Astyanax mexicanus: one gene and its partner. The protein of the gene in region 1 interacts with the protein of each later gene in a biochemical or structural test. Links are inferred from orthologs where the notes say so. Each region holds a gene or a part of one and is shown on either strand. Other genes may lie near its edges. The genes, in order: gopc and somatostatin receptor type 5.

Evidence for each region.
Region 2: the proteins of gopc (region 1) and somatostatin receptor type 5 form a complex in vitro, tested with the Homo sapiens proteins (2 studies listed by BioGRID and IntAct, with this or other methods). The link is inferred for Astyanax mexicanus from reciprocal best matches to the Homo sapiens genes GOPC and SSTR5.

Annotation. Positions count from the first base shown.
Region 1 is NC_064408.1:80,411,402-80,422,922, reverse strand, and holds the start of gopc (Golgi-associated PDZ and coiled-coil motif-containing protein), read left to right. Parts: upstream 1-6,722; 5' UTR 6,723-6,967; coding exon 6,968-7,222; intron 7,223-11,521. Other genes in the region: nephrocan-like, read right to left, coding at 1-663, 1,850-2,044.
Region 2 is NC_064428.1:35,181,519-35,193,313, forward strand, and holds the start of somatostatin receptor type 5, read left to right. Parts: upstream 1-6,738; 5' UTR 6,739-6,898; coding exon 6,899-7,624; intron 7,625-8,478; coding exon 8,479-8,886; intron 8,887-11,795.

The DNA of each region.
Region 1 (11,521 bases):
CAGCTCCAGCACACTCAGACTGGGCAGGCGAAGGCCTCCATCCACCGACACCAGCCTGTTGTAGCAGGCAGTCAGCGTAACCAGATCACGCAACTGAGCCAAATCACGACTTTTTAAACTTCTTAATTGGTTCCTGTCCAAGCTGAGGTTAAGCAGAGCTTGAGGAAGGTCATGAGGCACCTTAGTCAAAAGGTTAGAGGACAGGTCTAATGTTTTAAGAAGCTGCAGTGATGAGAAGAAAGCTGAAGGCAGTGAATGGATTTTGTTGTTTGCTAAGCTTAACTGAGTCAGCATTGGCAACCTGAGGGCACCTTGCACGGCCTCGAGTTTATTACCCTCCAGATATAGTTCCTCCAGCACAGTGAGAGCTAAGAAAGTACTGGAGCGTAAAGTAGTGATGAGGTTATTCTGGAGGTTCAGGAGGCGGAGTTTCTTTAGACCCTGCAAGGTGGACTCCTGCAATGTCTGGATCCTGTTGTGACCCAGGTGAAGGCTCTCCAGGCTGGAGGGCAGGCCACGAGGAATGTTCCTCAGTTTGTTCTTTTGGAGATCCAGAGTTTTTAAAAGCCTCTGGGCCCTAAAAACATTACCCTCTAGCTGCTCCACTCCACAGGAAGACAGGATGATCTCTTCAAGACTTTGCAAACCCGACAAATCTCGATTCTAAGAGAAAAGGAAAAAAGAAAAAAGGCTCTTTAAAATAGCCCAGTATAACACAAAGTCAGGAATCACATTTGTTTCAATAGGTTTGGGTCCTGCTTATCCTTACACACCTGATGTAGATCAGGTTATTGGATATTTGTTAATTAATTAGTTGCATCAGGTGTGCTGGATGAGGGACAGCACAAAAAAAAAACACACACAGTGTGGGCTCTATTTACTCATTTCATTAACATTTCACAGCAACAACAAGTATTTAATTATCAAATCAAAATAAGTACAGCATAACAATCAATGTAGTCCATTAAATTACGTAATATGCTCAAAATTGCTCAAAAACCTCATGAAGAACAGCACTAATATAAATGTAAAAACCTCCAACAACACCATCCAAAATTCAATGTTTTTCTTTTTGCAAAAAAACTGACATTCAAATTAATTGGAACAACAGCTCCCAGAAGTAACACTGCAGCTTTCAGCTTGAAAAACACTGCATTAAACGATTGCTTTATTACGCAGTTATTGATAGTGATACATCTTATGCATTAACTGCCCTAACTAATTGTTAACTGCTTTCAAAATATGATGTACACCATGTAGATATGGGTGTGGAAAACCTATAATGCTGGTTTACCAAACTAAGAATAAAGCTATTTTTAATTAGACAAAACTAGAACCTAAAAGATAAAAGTATCTGAATATATCAATTATAATAAACAGTTATAATTGACTTAAATGTATAATATGAGAGCAATCTTCAAATATCTGGTTTATTTATTAATTGGGTGCATGGGTCAGTAGGACAATATTACAATGACATCACAATGCCAATAATACAATAATTTTTTTTAAACAAACACAATTTGGAACAGAAAATATTTTCTAAATCTGAGGAAACATATAAAACATATTGTACACTACAAGCTTAATTTCAAAAGGTAGATTTACTAAACCAACAAAACGCAAACATACTTATCATTAAAATTAAAAATGAAAAACTCAAAATTAATCCTACATAACAGTTTATATAATACTGAATAAAATGTAGAGAGAAAAAAATTTGTGCCAGATGTGAATCATTGTGGAGTATGCCTTATTTAAAACACTCCAAATAAGTAATACAGAAAACAAGAGAATGTTGCTAAACAGGTGCAAATGAGATGGATCTGGAGTAAAAAAGAACAGTTACCTTGATCTCCTTAATGTGGTTGTATCCCAGGTTAAGTTTTCTCACATCTCTCGGGATGCCTGAGGGCATGGACTGTACCCTGAAACACTGCACTGATCCGGTTTGTTCACAGACGCATTTCTCTGGACACACTTGGCTGCAGAGCGAGAGGAGAGGGAAGAGCAGGGTGTAAATGAGAATGTGAAGTGTCCGCATTGTGTAGATGACCGGGGCTGCCTTGGTGCTGAAGCAGCATTTTGAAGACCTGTGGCTTAAATAGCTCAGCGACTGGGGCTCTGCTGAGTGTAGGCCTTCTCCGCTTTATTGGGAACAATGGCCTAGATCACTATCTGTGTTGGAAAACACTGACAAGGAACTGGCAAAGCAGTCACAGATTGTCCTGTCTGTCCGCAGATGTGAGAACCTTGGTGATAACCTGTTTACAGCCCATTCTAGACAACAAATGCAGTTTCCTCTGCTTAAATACTTTTAGCAGATACTTTGTCTCTTCGTTCCTCTCTTTGAGTACTCTGTTTTTTTTTGGAGATGGATGTTGCTGGTGTGTCTGTCACAGAGGACACTTTATGGGTTGATTATTTCAACCCATATCAAACCTAATTCAATAATAAATAATGAGAGATATAGGGGCCATTTCACAGACATGCATTAAGTCTAGTCATAGACTACAGTATATTTATCTTTTAATTCCTGTTTTGCCAGGAGGTAATAAAGTTAATAAAGTAATAAAGTTAATAAAGTGATCGGTATGTGCAGATGGTGAGTACAGTTATTAAAAAGATAGAAATGATAGGGTTAGATAAATGCACAGAAGAGCACAGGCTCATTTGATGATTCTCTGTTTATCTGTTAGTTGAGATCCAAAACAGCTCACATAACTATTTTAATAAATTGAATTTGTAAATACTGTCAAACGTTCCAACATCCAGTGCAAAGCCTTCACAGAAATGTAATGGTTGTTTCTGCAAAATTGGGGTCTGGGAACTCTCCTTATCAACACTGTTTATTACAAACATTTAAACATTAAGTGCACACCATTTATATGGGTGAGCAGATCTGACACCTCCCACCAAAAAAAAAAACTCATTTACTCTTATCAGACCACAAGGACAGAACAGTATAAACATCAGGTCAAGGTGAAATGCCCCTTTATTGCCACCAAGGACATGGGGGGTGTGGGGTACTCCTAAAATGTGTTTCTCTGGAATTGGTTTCACTCACCAAATGGGTATTGCTTCACTATACACATATATTTTTGTTTGTATGTTTGTCTGTTTTGTGTTGTAATGCAGTATGCCCTCAATCCAAGCAAAATTTCTCCTTGGGAGATAAATAAAGAAACTATGACTATGACTATTTGTGGCCACAATTTAAAGTATGTTTAAGTTAAGTAAGCTAAAGTAAAAACTAAATGATGCAGTGGTATAAAGCCATTTTTATCTGTTAACCATGGGGTGGATCAATCAAGTTTTGGGCTTGTGATGCAGCCAGTGTAACAGGGAGCATTTGACTGGTAATATAATTTGACTGGGAAAATGGATATAATTAACAATTGAAATTAAAATCTGGAATTAATCACACCTTCTGTAAAAACAAAAGCTGTTGAGAAAAAGAGAATTACTTTTACAACATGATTCTAAACACATCTCAAAATCCACAAAGGCTCTCACAGCACTTAAAATTCAACAAACATCTGTAAACAGGTGTCAGAAAAGCAGTTCATGTAAGACAGCCCCTGAATCTCCCAAAACTAGAAGCTTTTAACAACAAGGAAGAATGAGCAAACACCCATCAATGAAGAACTGAAAATCTCTTACCTGCTACAAATATTGTTTACTGTGATGACTTCTTATATCTGCTATAAGAAGGATACTGTCTGCACAGAAAAATCTTAAAATCATGAAAATCTTTGCAGTACAAAACTGTATTTTGTTTTTTATTATTAATTTTGGTTAACTTTTCAAAGGAAGTCTCATTGTTTGTTATAAATGTATTTGTTTAGTCTTTTTTTGGAATATTCTGTGTATCTTACAAAAATAACATAGGTAAAATATTTTAATAAATGTGCAATTTTTCACTTCACAGCTTTTGTAAAGCAATTAATCGTTCACGTACTGTTCACCTATGAGAAGATCAAAAATCTGCGGTGGATAAACCTACATATAATTGTATATGTACACAAATATTAAATATTAATACTTTTTTGCTTAAATGCTTTAAAGCCTAAGATGATGGTTCTGGTTTTAAGTACATATCTAAAACTAGTCTTTACTTATTATTTAATAAATGCAGTGCCATAATTAAGAATCCTTCAGTAGGTAAATCTAAAGTATTACTAAGGAATACAATCTTCAGGGTCTTCAGAATTGTCCTACTATCTGCTCTTTGAATCCATGTTTTTTGTATTGTGTTTTTTTTTTTGGAATGATCTTCTTTTAGATTTGAAGAGAAGGTTAGATAGTAAAGCTATATACAATTTAATGTAATACAATAAAGCTGTATTGTATGTTTTTAATGACCCTTTATTTTACTTTAAAACCCAACTCATTACCTAAATGGGCTGCTGCATAAGGGGCCCTCATGGAGACCGAGTACAATAAAAAGAGTGCTTTATAATGGGTTACCCTGATGGGGCCCATTATACAGTGCACATAATGGCCCCAGGTGTCCTCAGCTCTATTTGCCCATTAATGGCCCAACCTGTGCCCATATTTTACCCATGTAAAACCCACTTTGGTTCTAAATTAAAGGCCCATAAAAACCCCACATATGCTACCCATTAGGGTTCCACACTGTACCCATCTTAAACCCGTCATTAACCCATATGCTGCTCAAGGGGCCCGCATAGAGACTAAGGACAAAATGTGTTGGGTCCTAAATGGTTAAACTTGTTGGGGCCCATCATTTAGCCCATCATAAACCCACATGGGGCCCATAAAATTAAACATTTTCGAAAAATAAGAAATTTCAAAAATCTATTCATACTTTGAAGCTTTTCAGTTTTAGCTTTTTTTTGTTGGTTTTGTTGTTTGTTTGCTTTTTTATTTTATTATATTTTTATTTTTTATGTTGTTGGCATACCTGTCAAGTCTCCCGTTTTGGCCGGGAAACTACCGTATTTTACTCCTCTTTCCCGCCGTCCTCCCGTATTAGTATTTTTCCGTAAATTTCCCGTATTATATTAAAATTAAAAAATATATATTATTGAGGAGACAGGGCACTGACCGCTCTTTGTCTCTTAACCAATCGTGGAGCCGGTTCAAGGAGAAAGTCCCGCCTTTCAGGAGAAACAGCCAATCAGCTTGCAAAGGAGGGTCAGTGTGGGGAAGCCCCCCGTCGCTGTGAGTTCAGGCAGCTAGTCGGAGCTGCTGATGTTAAAACAGATCTGGATATACAGCGATTTTTCTTAAAAAAATGTAACGGTAGGCTAATCATGTAAACTGTGATGAGATTTTTCTGATAGCTGCTTAAAAAGACTCGTCTCCGAAATAAAACACACAGATTAAACATTTTAAAATTAAAAAAAAAATTACAGCTTGTGACCGAAATGAACTGAACTGATCAGGGGTGGAGTGATCAAAAGGAAGAAGTATTAATTAAAAATGATTAATTGTGTAGGCCACTTAGGACTAATTTTTACTGATGGAATATATCTGGTCCATGTCCTTTTAGTAAAAGCTCATAATACTATTTTTAGGTCACCTACAGTCATTTTGCAGAATTTGTGCCCCCTTTGTTAAATTTTAAATCTATTAAATAAATAAAAAAAATATAATATAAAAGAGTGCATGTATGGCAAAAAGACATGAAATCTTAATCTTAATCTTAATATCTTGAAAATGATTTTTAATTTGGCTGTATTAAAAGAATGATATATGTAGGAATGTCCACAACATTTCAGATTCTGATAATCTAATTGTAGTGTGTAAGTGGTTCACTTGTGGTTATTTTAGATTTTTTGTAAACCTGTCTTTAAAATGTAAGAGATACTGAACCTTCGTTGGGCTGGTGGGACGACTTTAAGCGGACAGAGGAAAATATCCCTTATTTTTCTAAAACTTGACAGGTATGGTTGTTGGATATATGAATCTTGAAATTAGCCTATTGCTGTTTCTGTTTAACTTTGTTGTATTGTATTATGCCGACCTTAGACATAACGATTTTCAAGCAATTTCACTGTTGCAGAAAAATTTCCAGAGTCAGGATTGTGTCTTATTGTGCAGTGTTATTTTTGATACAAACAAGTTTAATAAATACACATTTTGCAAGAATGATGTTGTTTATTGCATTAATCTAAAACAAAGGCAAATGTATATCAGTGAAACTGTGATTGATTGCTTTACAAGGTTGTATGCTTATAAGAAGAGTTGAACACAAAATGTATTCTATTAAAAATATCAAGAAATAAGTGTGGCCGAAAAATAAACTGTTGATGTGAGTCTCTGATAAATCACAGTATTGATTTACACATTATTTTTAACTTAATATGTAACATGTCTTGTATGTAACCTCCACCAGAAGCTTGATGGGAAATATTCTCAGAAAGAATCTAGCTGCAGTCTTACAGTTAGTGATCCTCAGTCTTAGCAAAATATGTTAGTAAAAAGTCTGTGACTTGTCTTTAGACGTGAGGGAGTGTCAGACCTTAGTATAAGAAAAGTATTTTTAGAGTCTTTTTTTAAGTCGTGTAGTGTATGAGCAGCATTTAAAGTACAAAAGCTCAATATTAATAATAAAAAAGCTGGTAAAAATATTGTGTGAGATCAGCGGACTGAGTGAAGTGTTCCTGAAACAGATCGATCGATCATATCGGTGATCTGTTGCTCTCGCTCTCTCTCTCTGGAGGCCTAATCGTGTGGCAGACCAGTGTAATCGATCCCTGCTGAAAACGGACATCCTGCTGTGTTTAGAGGAGGAGGATCAGCGGTATTTACTCCTCCGCTGAAGTTCTTCCTCCTTCTCCTCTGACTGTGATAGACTGAGCTTAAGGGACTCAGAGAGCCGGGCTGTACAGACTGAGGGCTGCGGGGTCGCTGAACCGAGGCTCTGCAGTGCTGCTGGTGGTGTTGTTGTGGGGGTGCTCGGGTATCCGCTCGGTGTTAGACGGTCTACAGGGCGGGGATGTCGGCGGGCGCCGCGCAGGGAGCCGCGCTCGGAGCTCCGGCCTCGGGCATGTCGATGTTCCGCTGGCTGGAGGTTCTGGAGAAGGAGTTCGACAAGGCGTTCGTGGACGTGGATCTGCTGCTGGGCGAGATCGACCCGGACCAGGCCGACATCACCTATGAAGGCCGCCAGAAGATGACCAGCCTCAGCTCCTGCTTCGCGCAGCTCTGCCACAAAGCGCAGACCGTCTTCCAGCTCAACCACAAACTGGAGGTAGCTAGCGTTATTATTAAAACACAACACACCACCGGGCCTACACCACCACTCCACTGTAGCTTTAACACTCACACAGACTGTGAAATATTCATTAAACTGTTCAGAGTCACAGGAAGCTAGCTAGCTATCCTAGCTAACCCACCACACAGCAGCAGTGTGTGAGGAAACTACTGTTCTGTGGAACAGTAGTGGAAGTTTGGGAACTCTCGCCAAATTACTTTACAAATTACACACTTTATTCATTTCTTATTGGGAATTAATAAGCACAGAGTATGTAGGTTATACTGTATTGTCACCAAATTCTAATGTACATCTGTTTCCAGAATTCATCTTGACCTTAGCAGTTCTCCAAAATTTTTCAATGTCATAAAAATGCTGTAAATTATTTCTTCCAATTAAGAATTCTTGTGTATATAAAAATTCCTAACTATTAAAATAGCAACTAATAATGAGTGAATATATTCGTATAAATACTGGATTAAGCTTCTTATTTCTGTCTACAAAACATTTGGTCATCTCTAAACAAATGACACTTTATATATATATATATATCAATGTATTTTATTTTAATAAATAGAAAGCACAGAATGTGTGGCTAATACTGCCAATATTTTCTACAAATGTACAACTGCTTTTTTATGCCGAAATATATTATATGCAAATCAGAATAACCATTTTGGCCTGGGCAAAGGTTTATGCACTTTACCCGGTAAAAGCTTTGTTACAACCCCTTTGACAGAAAATACAGTTCACAAGCTCTGTTTGTTGCAGATAAGTGTTTTTATATCTAATATCAGTTTTGTCTTTATACTGAGGGTGTTTTAACTGTAGCAATTCAGTGTTTTGTTTTTTCCAGATCACATTTTGACTACCACAGTTCACCTGAACTGCCATTTCTTACCATTCCTTACTGTAGGATGCTTGGAAGTCTTCTTGTAGATACTGGGTGGTGCTTTTCTATTTCATGGACCCAATCAATACTGCTCCAAGTTTAGCACTGAGATTGTTTCTTGATCTTCATGCAGGCATTTATAATTCAGCAGCCAATGCCCTGTAGTTCAGTTCACGTTAGGCTTTAGTTACATTTTGTTGTGTGCCAATATATTTTCTTGTTCTTTTTTATAAATAATTATAAAAAGAGTCTAACCTTAATCCTAGTCCTCTAGCAGCTGACAAAAATCAAATGCTGCAGTTCAATTAGAATCTCATCCTAGCCATGTTGGCAATTAACATGGTTTTGTGCTGATTTTGCTGCCTATGATTAATTGATCTGTGAATTATACAATAAATAGTACCATCAGATTCTACACAATGTCAGTTTTATTACCGCTCATTAAAATAGTTTGCTGAAAGTTATTTCTGATATTTAACGTTCTGCAATTGCCCTTTTACATTTTTTAAGTGACATTCAGTGCAGTTCATCATAGGTGTGAAAAGATATCATAATCTTGTATTGAAATAGGTACTGCTATTATCAGTCTAATATATCTCTAAAAATGGCATTTAAAAGGAAAGGTATTACAGTTTAACAATAAACGTGATGCACCTGCCCTTCCTGCTGAGCTGAGCCTGTTTTGCGTAAGGGGGTTTGCATTCCTGACATTTGAAATCCTGATCCATTGTAAAAGAGAGATGCTTACTCATCTTAAATGTGAGTAAAGCTCAGACAGAGCTGGAGAACATCAGAACTCAATAGTGTTGGAGTGTACCAGCCAATGCTCTCTTTAGGTTTATTATTTTAGTACAAAAGAGATACATGTTTAGAGAAATAGACCTGCAGAACCTGCTCAGCCAGGTCTGATCAGTTTATTGTGTCCTCTGTCTATAGTGTGTGTGTGTGTTTGTAAATGATAAGAAGACAAAACTATGCAAAGCACCTTTTGGAGTCAACACTACTATTTTCCTCTTGAGGCTTTTCCATTGGATTGTCATTAGCTGGTAATTACTGTCTTTAGGTTGATTAAAAAAAAAAATGTGTATATTTTGCAATTTATATGAAAAAGTGCAGTCCTGTATTTCTAACATGATATCACCAGATATCCTTTAGCTTTCCTCCATGAAGTTGGTTGGAAATAAATATTTTTGGTAATTTTTGAAATATTGGCCATTGTTAGTAGGGCTTTTATTGTGTACATCTACTCTCAAACAAATTAAGTTTTATTGCATGTTGTGATCATACCAAATGATGTGAATTAAAGAATTCATAAAAAGTCAGCTTATACTTGTCATGCAAAAATACATTAAAACATAAAATAAAATAATTTTAAAAACGATTAATTAAAATAATTAAATGAAAACCAATGTAAAAATTAAATAAAATGGAAATTAATTTAGATTTATTGTGATTTATAAAGGCCAGTCTTTAATCAGGTGACACTATTGGTTCACTGGTATGGTTTTGGTGTCACATAAATTGTTATTGTGGACACATTGAAGTTCTGGATTTATAAGATCTATTTAAGTTGCTACACTGTGAACTCATGCTTTATTTAATGGTTTTAGAGTGTTATTAATTTGAACATCTCCACTGATTGTGGTCAAGTAAAGTTTTAGTCCTGTCCTTATGTACTTTTTGTTGTATCTAGAACATCACGGTTTTGTTCCACCAAAAACAGGGTTTACCAGTCTTGTCCACAAAGGGCATGTATGGCTGCAGGTTTTCACTCAGACCAGAGTGAATAATTGACAGCTTGGACCAACTAATAAAACAAGAATAACAGGATCCACTTCTGCTTGTTAGAAATGAAAATCTCTGCTAAACCTGCCCTTGCTTTGTGGATAAGATTGGTGACCCCCATCCACATTGTGAACAAAATCTGGAGAAACCAGACCTAATGCTATTTAGGATGATGATTCTAAAAAAACAGTTGTTGTTAAAGTAGAATGTCCCTTAAGTCAAAGTAAGGGATTTTTTTCCCATGTTGTTCAGCTTTAGTGTGGAGTGTTGGTTGCTGTAGGTCAGCTCTACCAGTGTTCAGCTGTCTTGTGTCCATTAGATCTGACCTGTTGGCCTCATGTGTTCCTCCTGCTTCAGCATTCTCAGGAGAACGCTTGGACTAATCTCTCGTGTGTCTACCACTTTATAAATCTCTTAAAAGCTTCTTTATCTTAATGCATGCTGTTTTGCAGGACTGTCATGAATGTATGATTAAAACACTAATACTACCTTATCTGTGAGTCTACAATGATGATCTAGCATGTTTGCTTGATGAGTATCAATGCTGTCAAATGATAAAAAAAAATATTTAATTAATTACATGCTCAGTGATTAATCTACATTTATCACCTAAAAATACTTTTTTTGAATGAATGAATGAATGAATAAATGGAAAGTTACAATAATAAGAGACATAGGTTTTTTTCTTCTCAATCTTTTTATTTCAGGTGTATACATCTTAAAGCTAAAATTATAACCTAAATAGAACAATATATTACCAGTTCCTTTTACTACAAAACCATTCTCTAGCAACATATTGTAATTTGCAGCACAATTCTATTGACCATAAACCATAAAAATATCATCAAATTCACTTCAAGTCAAACAAGCAACAGTTTCTCAATTTTGTGTTATGCACCAGAAGTGGACTATTTGCCTTACTCTCTCAAACAGTTACTGAAACAAACAAGCCTGTTTACTTTCTCAAGGCAGGGTCTGTGGTGTATAGTCTACACAAATGCCATGTGGCACTGTACAGGGTTGCATGTTGGTGTTTCTGTGTTGCGTTACAGTTTACCTGTGAACGCAATCACAGTATTCACATTTCTGGAGTGGTGCTACGCTGTAAAGTACATAGATTCAATTCAATGTTATTTATATTGCGTGTTTTACAAGCTGTTCAAGCTTCTTATGAGTAAGCACCACAGTGATGACGCCAACAGTGGCATGGAAGAGGTGGCAACAGTGATTTAAAAAAAAAAAAAAAGCAGGTGACAAAGTGCAGATCAAGGGAGCAGAGCTGCTATGTTAACCTCCATCACATGATAGTGACCTAAAGTGTATCGCTGGTTCAAATGGTAATTAATTGAAAAAAACTAACAGTTTTTTTTGCAGCCCTACTTGTAATTATTTTCATTATTTTTTTTTGCATTTTACACACAGATCCAGGTGGGTTGTATCCTACACCACATGTATTTGTGTAAATTAGATATGTTTATCTGTGTGTATTGCTGGAATTTCTAGGCTGTCACAATAACTACATTATCATTTTAGCGTACAATACACAAACACAACCTCAATTATTTTTTCTGACCTCAATATTACCCATTTTGTTTTTTTTAGTGAACAAAACCCGTTAA
Region 2 (11,795 bases), on another chromosome or scaffold:
CGTGAGCAACTGTTCTGAACTAACTAACACCAGTAATAATAGTGATAATAATCCAGCACGTGTCACCTCTGCACTACTGAGTGAAACAGCTGAAGAAACTGTAGTGCTCTAGTGTAAAAAAATAGATTAAATTATACTAAGCATTTCTATACTATAGTGCACTAAAGTGTTCTTGTAGCCTCATTATTATTAATCAGTATATTTAAAGAGCGCTAAAATGGAACAACTTTTTAAAATACTTATTATACTTTAATTACAGTATAAAAATAGTACAACATTCTTACTTAAATTACTTAAAAAGTCTACTTAACTGTACTGAAATTGAACTATTTTAAATTTACTTAAGTAACATTTAAACATACATATATATTTATAATATATAATTATAATATAATTATATATTTTATAATATATTTAATAATGAGTAGCACAACTGTATCACTATTTATTATACACCAGATATATTAGAAATGCACTAAGAATTGATATATGTTAAATATATGTGATCTATATTTACATTTGAGTACAAATATACAACTATGCTTCTTGTTCCTGTCTTTTGTAAGAAGCACACTTCTAGTCTAGTTTACTTTATTGGGTATAAAAATATATTTTAATATAATGTACTACAAGTTTTAGTGTGTTACAATTTTACATTTTTTTAATTAGTAGTAGTAATTTAATTTACTTTCTAAAAAGTTACATGATACATTGTACTTTAAGTGAACTACTGTAACTGTAGTTGTTTTTAACACACTTTGCTAAAAGTGTACAAAAGTATATTTGTAAATATATATTTTAGAATTACATTGAATTACATTAAACTAAAAGTGCACTTCATAGTAGTCTATTTATTGAAAAGTAGACTATATTGTACTTTTTTAAAAATATGATCAAATTTTACTTTCAAAGCATAATATTAATGTACTTTTAATATATTTTAAGTAAGTACATAAATCTGTTAGTATATTTACATCATACATTTCTCAATATGTTTTAAGTACAATTAAGTATATATTTTGTTCACTAGGGTGCAGAGGCAAAGGCAACATAACTATTTTGCATTCTTTCATTCTACACTTTAGAATAGATGCTAAATAAATTTTTTAGATGCTAATTTAGTTTTTTTTTTTAAGATGATTAAATAAACTCTTTTTGCTGTTTTATGAAAGACCAATGAAATTACACTTATAAAGTGCCTTTCTTACAATCACATTTTACACACACAACCATTTACACTCAGCACAGAGCAGAGACAGCATACTCTCAACCGGAAACCACCGTCCACCTGGAGCACTGCATTAACTACACTGTAACAGAAGTTAGTTAATTTACCAATTTACCTGATCTCCATGTTTTTGGACTGTTTGATAAATTCGAGATATGCTGATACAGAGAGAACATGGAAACTCAGGACAGGGATTTGAACCCAAGACTGGTAGGCAAATGTGCTAACCACTAATCACTAATCCACCATACCGCCCAATGATGATGCTAATCCAACACTAGCGGGCAAATTTAGTTCAACAACCCAGCGTTTTGATGCTAACCCAACACTTTAGCTACAGCTAATTCAGTTAAAGCGTTTTTTACACTCTAATTTAACAGCATAATTAAATTAATTGACAGATTTAAATATTGTTCACTTATTGGCAATAAAAGTCCAATTCTGTAGATGCTAACCCAACACTTAACGCTTTTTAGCTGATTTAGCAAAATATATGGTGTATTTTTATTATAGTTTTCTCAACTAATTAAAAAAATAGATGCTAGTTTCGTAGTTGTAGCCATAACATTTAAAACGAGGCATTAACTAATAATGACGTAGACATATATATACATAGACTCCACATAGCCTGCCTCTTCCCAGCTGGCCACCAACATTAAAAGACATTAATTTCAGGTTGAGTTGTGGTCATGACTTGACAATGACAAATATTTTACAACAGGATAATGTCTAATAGTGTTACATGTCTGCAGGGTTGGCGCTGGCTGCTACGCTAGAAGGCAGGCTATGCAGAGTCTATCTATATATATGTCTATGTCTTCATCAGTAAAGCTTTAGCGTTTTGGGATGTAAACAGAGGTTTTTAATAACGTTCTTGTGCACTTTTTTTAAGTTATTAATGCCTCGATTTAAATGTAAGGCTAAATTTTTGGATCTCAGAAAGCTGCAGGAGAGCGGAGGTGAGCTATTCATCAAAGGAAAGTACTTTTTAATCATGTTTTACTAAACTAAAAGTCCATTTTACACCAAAAGTAGTTAAAGATCAGACAAATTGCATTTTACATACAAATATTATTAAAAATAAAAAAAGTTTGGATGCAACTCTAATCCTTAAAGCTAATCCAACAGCATGTTTCCTGTAACGAGCTTCATAAACCAGTGTTTTTTTGTTTCGTTTTTTGCTAATGCTTTATTTATTTATTTATTTATTTAATGAATGAATTAATGAGATTAGAAGCTGTGAGTGAGCGGTATTGATTGGTGCTGGTAATTTATGGGCTCCCGGGTTTATGATTGCAGGCAGTGTGTGATCATTAAGCCCTGTGTGAGGACCTTCATTCAACCTTGCTGGTCGTGCTGGTCGGGTTCATTCAGGTGTATTTATAATTAACCTCTGTAAGGTGCTCATTAACGTGGGTTTTGTGCAGTGTGTGTGTGTGTGTGTGTGTGTTTTGTGTTTTTTTTTTCTCCTGCTGCTGGTGTGTGTGTGAGTGTTTGTTTTGTGTTTTTTTTTTCTCCTGCTGCTGGTGTGTGTGTGAGTGTGTGTTTTGTGTTTTTTTTTCTCCTGCTGCTGCTGGTGTGTGTGTGTGTGTGTGTAGGGGGTGTATCTCAGTGCTGAGCTGCAGTAAGTTTGAGCAGCAGCAGCAGAAGGAGCAGTAGTGAGCAGCAGTAGTGAGCAGCAGCAGTAGTGACTGGGAGAATGCAGCTCTACAGGTCTGATCTCTGAACAGCCCGGAGCAGATCAGATCAGATCAGATCAGATCACACTGTCTGGATTACAGATCTCCGCCGCTCCGCTCGCGCTCAGAGATGCGCTCTGCCCGGGTCTCGCGCTCCGAGCTGCTGCCGCGCGCGCTCATAATGGGGAGACTCTCGTTCCTACAGTCTGCTATTGGTGTTTTTGGTGTTATTCTTTTAATCTGAGGAGATATTTTTAATTTTATTATTATTATAAATCCTGAGAACATCTGAGGATCACAAACCAGGCAAGTAGCAGCTCATCTCATACACACACACTTTACACACACTTCACACACACTTTACATACTAGTGCACTGTCACTAGTGCAGATATAAGAGCTTTAAATCTCTTTAAAACTTATTATATTCAATAATAATAACACACACACACACACACACACACACACACACACACACAGAGGCTGCATTATTATAATATAATAAGCTCTTACTGCTGTGTGTTGTTGCTCAGTGTAGCGTTTAGAAGTTTAATTTTCAGCAGAGTGAAGAAGAAATGGATTTTTATCCAAATTATTAATTATCTATTATTCATGTCAGCCAATGAAAATGTAAAAGGTCAGTGTAACTTTTTTCTATTTGATTTTCTGACCGTTTGGGGCTAAATGCAAAATTAGAAAATTGGATGTAAAAACGCATAATTTCATTTATTTTAATGTAGTTTAGTGTACAAGAAATGTTTTTATCCATTTTTCCAATTTTAGTTTTTTCCTCTCTGCCCCTTACAATCGGAATGTCAGGAAAAATGATTAATTAATCAATGAATGAATTAATCATTTTTTGCATTTTGCAAGCTTTGCCAGATTTCAGATTTGTTTATTTTTCTGTCTTTTAACACAAATCTAAAAAATCAAGAGAAGATTCAACTTTATTTTCTCTTGAAATTCTGTTTGCCAATAGCGGAAAAAAATAGATAATAAAAAAATTGGGGGGTCAGAGTAACATTTATTAATTTATTTTTCTAATTGTTTGAGGCTAAATGCAAAAATGGAAAAAAGGATGTAAAAACAGATTTTTTAAATGTAGTTTAGTTTACAAGAAAAAGTTTTTATCCATTTTTCAATTTTTATTTTTTTTCATCTCTGCCCCTCACAATCAGAAAAAAAATATTTATTTTTTTTCCAGATTTTTGAATTTTTGCATTTGTAAGTTGGATTACACCATCAGATGTGTGTTACAAGATACAAACATGGAAAAATCTGAAAATTGAGGCAAGAATCCATTTTTATATCTCGTGACACAAATCTGATGGTATGCAAAAATGGAAAATGGGAAGAAATCTTGAAATTCTGATTGCGAGGGGCAGAGATGAAAAAACTAAAATTGGAAAAAAGGATGAAAACTTATTTCTTGTACACTTTATGCTGCTTTACTCCTGGTGCAAAAATTCAAGCAGTTCAGTTTGGTTTGATGGCTTTGGATCATCCATCTTCCTCTTGATTATATTCCAGAGGTTTTTAATTTGGTAAAATCAAAGAAACCCATCATTTTTAGATGGTCTCTTATTTTTTGACCAGAGCTGTGTTTGTATGTGGCTTGGACATACCCTACATGTTTTGCAATACTTTTTGGATGGTCATCCATCATCCTGACCCCCCCACTAGTGCTGAGTGCAAGGATTAAACGAGTTACAGAGTGGTCTGGAGTTGCATTGATATATATATATATATATATATATATATATATATATATATGTACGACAAACAGCATAGGCATATTAGCTGGTCTTAAGTGTTTTGGCTTTGGGCTTTTGTTGGTGTATATATGTTTTTATGTACACACACTATATTGGTGCTATATAATGGACTGTTTGTGGACACTCATTCTAATGAATTCTAGCATCTGTAGTGACTCTTTTGAGCAGATAAACAAATATATATATATATATATATATTGGAACCATGTCTAATGTCAGGTGAGGGCTATGGACGAACATAAAGCCCCCCAGTATTGAGCTGTGGATCAGTGGAGGAACTGTGTTCTCTGTAATGATGATGGAGCTCCATACAATACTTTAGAATGGGATGAGTTTGGTTGAGGTGGGATCATCAGCATCCTGTAACATCCTGACCTAATCGACGATGATGCTCGTTAATAAATGCAATCAAGTCAAATGAAGTCAAGAGGCTTTTATTGTCATTATATCTGAGAACAGGAACACCGTGTATCGAAATTACGTTCCTCTGTAACCATGATGCAACATGGTTAAACAACAAGAAGATAGACAAACATAAAGTGCAAAAGTTTAAAACCATAAAATATAACACTGCAGTAAATACAATAAATTCAGAATACAAATCCTCACTGCAATGCTGCTTTAAAGTCTAGTAGAAAGTAGTCTTCTCTGGACAGTAGAGGCAGTTACTCCGACAAAAAAAGCAGGATAAACTTATTTTAATACCCTTGATATAAGCAGATGATCCAATACTTTTGTCAATGTTATTTAATGTTATTTAAAGGAACTACTTTAATTCAATTAAACCTTAAAAAGGGAGAACTCTGGTGTAAAATGGACTTTTGCTGTAGTAAAACATAGTAAAAAGTTCTTTCCTTTGATGAATAGCACACCTGAAATACAGTAATTTTGTGCTTATCCAGCTCAAAGTAGCTCCACACCTCCTTACTAGAATCTGGAGAGCCCTGACATTTAAAACGAGGCATTAACAACTAAAAAATTGCACAAGAAGCTTATTAAAACTCACTGTTTACATCCTATAACGCTACTAGCTTCAGCTCCGAGCGCCGCCATCACTGTACTGATAATGTCATAGACATATATATACATATATACATAGACTCTGCATAGCCTGCCTCCTGTCATAGCAGCTGGTGACCAGTGCTTTTTTTTTTTTTACAGTGAGGAAGGTGTTTAATACATAATATATTATAATAATCACAACTCTACAAATCTCAACTTATACCCGATTTTCATAATATAACATATAACAAAATACTACATCTTTGCTATGCGTAGTCTATGTGTATATATGTATATATATGTCTATGTCATTATCAGTACAGTGATGGCGGCGCTCGGAGCTGAAAGCTAGAGCGTTATGGGATGTAAACTGTGTTTTTTAATAAGCTTCTTGTGCACTTTTTAGTTATTAATGCCTCGTTTTAAAAGTCAGGTCTCTCTGGATTCTAGTAAGGAGGTGTGGAGCTACTTTGAGCTGGATAACGGTGGAAAAAGTGATTTATCAGGGTAAATTATGCTCCATATCACCCAGTCTGAAGGGTGTTTGTTGGACAAACTGTTAAAATTTCTGGATCTCTGAACACTGTGGGAGAACGGAGGTGTGCTATTCATCAAAGATAAGAACTTTTTATCATGATTTACTAAACTAAAAGTAAATTTAACACAGGAGTTCTCCTTTAAAGTTGTTTTTTATGACCAACGACCACACCTTAGTTATAGTTTTATATGCATCCCACTTTCTGGACACCACATGGGGTCTCTGAGATGAGTGCGCTAAAGACACACACACACACACACACACACACACACACACACACACACACACACACTCAGATCATCAGATATAGAGCATAGAGCGGCCAGAACAGAGCCACCTCCGCTGAATCACAACCCTGACTAACACTGCATTGAAATCAGGTACAATCTGTGCAGTGGGAGTTTTCTCATTCTCAACTCACAATCTCTCTCCTTCTCTCCCTCTCTCTGATTCCTTCTGTCGTACTCTCTCTCTCTCTCTCTCTTTCTATCTCTATCTTTCTCTCTTTTCACAGCATCCCAGCATCCAAACTCTGACAACAGCCCCGTGGGCGTCCGAGACCCACTGACGTGTCGCTTCTCTGCGCGATTTCGTCGCTCCCTCGTTCTTTCTTTTTTTTTCTTCTCCTCTCCATCTGCCTCTTCTGCCTCTCCTTTCTTCCCCTCCCTGGATCAGGAATGGAGCCAGGGGCTGTATCGGAATGGGAGGGGCCCCTCCTGGGGTCCTTGAACTCGTCAGGGATTCTGGAGGCGACGGCGTTTTCGAGGGCGCCGGCTCTCCTGGGAAACTCTTCCTATAACTCTTCGGACTACAGCATGCCGTTCCAGGGCAGCAGCACCATGCTGACGGCCATCATCTCGCTGACCGTTTTTATCGTGGGACTCGTCGGAAACACGCTGGCCATCTACGTGGTCCTGCGCTACGCCAAGATGAAGACGGTCACCAACATCTACATCCTGAACCTGGCCGTGGCCGACGAACTCTACATCCTGGGCCTTCCGTTCCTCACCACGCAGAACGTGCTCTCCTATTGGCCGTTCGGCTCCTTCCTGTGCCGCGTCCTCATGACGGCGGACTCTCTGAACCAGTTCACCAGCATCTTCTGCCTCACGGTCATGAGCATCGACCGCTACCTGGCCGTGGTGCACCCCATACGCTCCACCAGGTGGCGACGGCCGCGGGTGGCCAAAGTGGTGAGTGCCGCGGTGTGGGCCATCTCGTTCGTGGTCATTCTTCCCGTTGTCATCTTCTCCGACGTGCAGGACACGTTCTTCTCCTGCAACCTGAGCTGGCCGGAGCCGCGGGACGTCTGGTCCATGGCCTTCATCCTCTACACCGCCATCCTCGGCTTCTTCGCCCCCCTGCTGGTGATCTGCATGTGCTATCTGCTCATCATCGTCAAGGTGAGTCTCCAACCTCTTAACATCATGCCTGTTGAAAAAAATTTAAGTAAAATTGACTTTTTTTAAGTAAATTTAATTTCAGATACTTTAAAAAAGGATTGATTTAGGAAAAATAAAGTTTACTAAAAGAAAGGATTGACTGAAGTTCAGTTCACTTATTTACTTTATGTAACATTTTTAAAACCGAGTTGAAATTAAATCCAGTACTCCATCCAGTACTTCTAGGGATTAGAAAATCTAGTAGAAAGCCTTCTCTGGACAAAAGAGAAAGTTACTCCAGCAAAGAGTATGTTTTTTCCACTGATTTTGGAAAAGCCTCGCAGCCGCAGCAGAAATCACCTCACCACACCAGGGCTAACTAACTCTGCCCGAGTTGAGACTTTTCTACATATTTGTTTTTTTGTTTTGTTTTTTCACATAAAAAAATTCGAACAGAGCTTTTTTGGAGGTTCTTCATTGTGAAAAAGATGTTTTAAAGAATATGAAAGCTTTTTCATTGAGCGAAAGTAGTTATTATTTCAATGCAAAGAATGAGAAGTCCATTGAGGAACCTCCAGGATGAGTGCCTGTAAGCACTTTAGCGATACCTCAGTACAACATCAGGTTCTTTAAAGATCTCGAAATATGGCTCGTACAAGAAATGTAGGCTATTATATTTGGATTCAGGTACAGAAATCGTTATTCGCTCCTTCATAGATTCAGACTGAAAAAACTGTGTAAAAAGCTTTGAGTTCTTGGAGGAGCCTGTAGGTTATTGTGGTAACCTAGAGGTTCTACAAACTTTTAGCTTTTTTAAGTACAAGTTAAACAAATTGATGAATCGATTGATTCATTCATTTTTTGATTGATTGAAGGTGAAGTCAGCAGGTGCTCGTGCCGGATTCACTAAGCGGCGGCGGTCGGAGAGGAAGGTGACGCGTATGGTGGTGGTGATCGTGGTGGTGTTCGTTCTCTGCTGGCTGCCGTTCTACATCATCAACATCGTCAACGTCATCGTCATCCTGCCGGAGAACAGCCTGATGGTGGGCATCTACTTCACCGTCGTCATCCTGTCCTACGCCAACAGCTGCGCCAACCCCGTCCTCTACGGCTTCCTGTGCGACAACTTCAAGCAGAGCTTCAGGAAGGTCCTGTGTTTCCGCAAGACCAACGGCGTGGAGGACGGAGACCCCAGCGTCCCGCGGACCGAGAAAATCACCACCCACGACTCCTTCCTGCCCCCGAGAAACCACGAGTTTAACGGACACGTGCAGAGCAGCCAGGTAACACAGCATCCACAGACCGCAGGATGATTTATAATGTGTGTATGGGTGCATATATACATATATATATGTGTGTGTGTGTGTATATATATGTGTGTGTGTGTATAGTGTACAGTTATACGTGTGTAATGTTATACATGAACATGCAGCACACATCAGGGCCAGAATGAAATTAACTGATTTTATTCTATTGCATAAATTAGCATCCGATTTAATATCATTTTTATTGTTGCAAAACTTTTACACAAAAATTCTATTTGCCCATAAACATTAATGGACATAACAATTGTGTACTATTCTTATGTGCCAATATAATGAAAAGAGTACAACTTGGCAACCTGAACAACCACCTGAGATACCACAGCAACTGCCAATTAATCCATAGAATCCCCCGTCAACACCATTCTAGCAGCAGCATCATAATCACCTGGTATACTATTGCAGCCATGGAGCAACACCACAGCAACCACTTGTTGAACTCTACTAAACTGTACCCATCTAGCAACACCGCAGCAACCACCTGACAAAGCAAAGTAAGCATTTAGTGTAGTAACCACTTAGCAACACCACAGCAACCACCTTGGATATCAAAGTAAGCATTTAGTGTAGTAACCACCTAGCAACCACCTGGCATACCAAAGTAAGCATTTAGTGTAGTAACCACTGAGCAACACCACAGCAACCACCTCACATGCCAAAGTAAGCATTTAGTGTAGGAACCACCTAGCAAAACCACAGCAAACACTTGGCATATGAAAGTAAGCATTTAGTGTAGTAACCCACCTGGCAACACCTCAGCATCCACCTGTTGTACTTTACTATACTGTACTATGTAGACCATTGAAACCTTCTGGTACACCACAGAGACCATCTAGCAAACACTAAGCAACACCTGCCTGATGTACTGTACTATACTGTACCTACGTAGCAGCACCACAGCAACCACCTGATGTACTGAACTGATGTACTGTACTGTACTATACCTATCTAGCAGCCACCTAGCAACACCACAGCAACCAACTGATCTACTGAACTGATGTACTGTATTATACCTATCTAGCAGCCACCTATCAACACCACAGCAACCACCTGATGGACTGTACTACACTGTACCTAGGTAGTAGCACCACAGCAACCACCTGATGTACTGAACTGATGTTCTGTACTGTACTATACCTATGTAGCAGCCACCAAACAACACCACAACAACCACCTGATGTACTGAACTATACTACACCCATCTAGCAATTGAGCAACACCATTGTGAGCACAAGGTATATCATATTAACTACCTAACAGCACCATAACATCCACTTAGCAACATCATAACAACCACTTAGCAACATCATAGCAACCACATAGCAGTCATTTTAGCATTTTAGTACTTTTGGGATTAGTCATGGAGTCATCCATCAGTATTGACCTCATTCACACTCGTGTGGCCGAATGCAATCATATCCTCACAGCAACGCAAATCTAGAAATCCAGTAGAAACAACCTATACTATGCTAACCGGAGTAAACAATACTAGAGACAATACTTGTTTGTTATATAGTGTAGATAGATTGCTGCAGGTCATCTGCTATATAATATTTATGTTCCATCTGGACTCGTTTAAAACCATGTTGTAAAACCAGATGTCCCAGCAGTGACCAAACGCCTGAGGGGTTTTCTATGTGCATGATGTTTGTTGGTGTGTGTTGAAGTGTGTGTGTTGTTATGTGTGTGTGTGTGTTGTTGTGTGTGTTAGGGGTGTGTGTACATGTCCTCATAATCCGCTACATGCCCTTATTTAGAGTGGAGTGTTTTATCTGATGCAGCTCTACATGGTAAAGGTCATGCTAACGCAGACAGTTTGGTTTGACGCGTCGAGCAGTCGGGCATAAATTTCCTGGCAGTTTGAGTGGCTCCATGCTGGCTCTATGGAGGGGGGGGGGGCGGTGGATAGAGTGGGGGAGGGTCAGTTAAACACACACCAGTTATAACCTTAGCATTCATTACAAAGTCCAGGAAAACAGCACTCACTCTATATGAGTTTTAATGCAAATATATATTTTAACTAATGTGTTTAAAGAGTTAATTATCAATATTTTTATATGCAACTCAAAATCAGAAAAAGCTGGGCAAGTTTGAAAAATCATAGTGTTTCTTACATTGACTTTAAAGTGTCAGTCCGTATAATTGTGTTTCTAAACTGAAAACAGAAGAATTTCTGAGTGCATAAAGGTTAAAATATTGTGTTCGATGGTACCAACTAGGCAACCTAAGCAACCACCTGAGATACCACAGCAACTGTCAATTAATCCATAGAATCACCTGGCAATGCCAAAGCAACCACCTGGCATACCAAAGTAAGCATTTAATGTAGCAACCACCTAGCAACGCCACAACAACTACCTGGCATATCAAAGTAAGGATTTAGTGTAGCAACCACCTAGCAACACCATTGTAGTATAGTAACCACCAAGCAATGCCAAAGCAACCACCTGGTATACCAAAGTAAGAATTTAGTATAGTAACCACCTAGCAACGCCGCAACAACCCCGGATACCAAAGTTAAACCCAGTTAAACACATACCAGTTATAATCTTAGCATTCATGACAAAGTCCAGGAAAACAGGAAGTAACAGTCACTCTATATGCGTCTTAATGCAAATATCACATTTTAATCACCCTGTTTAAAGAGTCAATTGTCTACATTTTTATATGCAACTCTAAATCAGAAAAAGTTGGAAAAGTTTGGAAAATCGCATTGATTACATTGACTTTAAAGTGGCAGTCTGTATTATTTAGTTTCTAAACTGAAAGCAGAAGCATTTCTGAGTGGAGAAGAATATAGATAAAATATTTTGTTTAATGGAACCAGTGTGCTGAAACCACCATCCTGCTAAACCTAATATCTAATATAT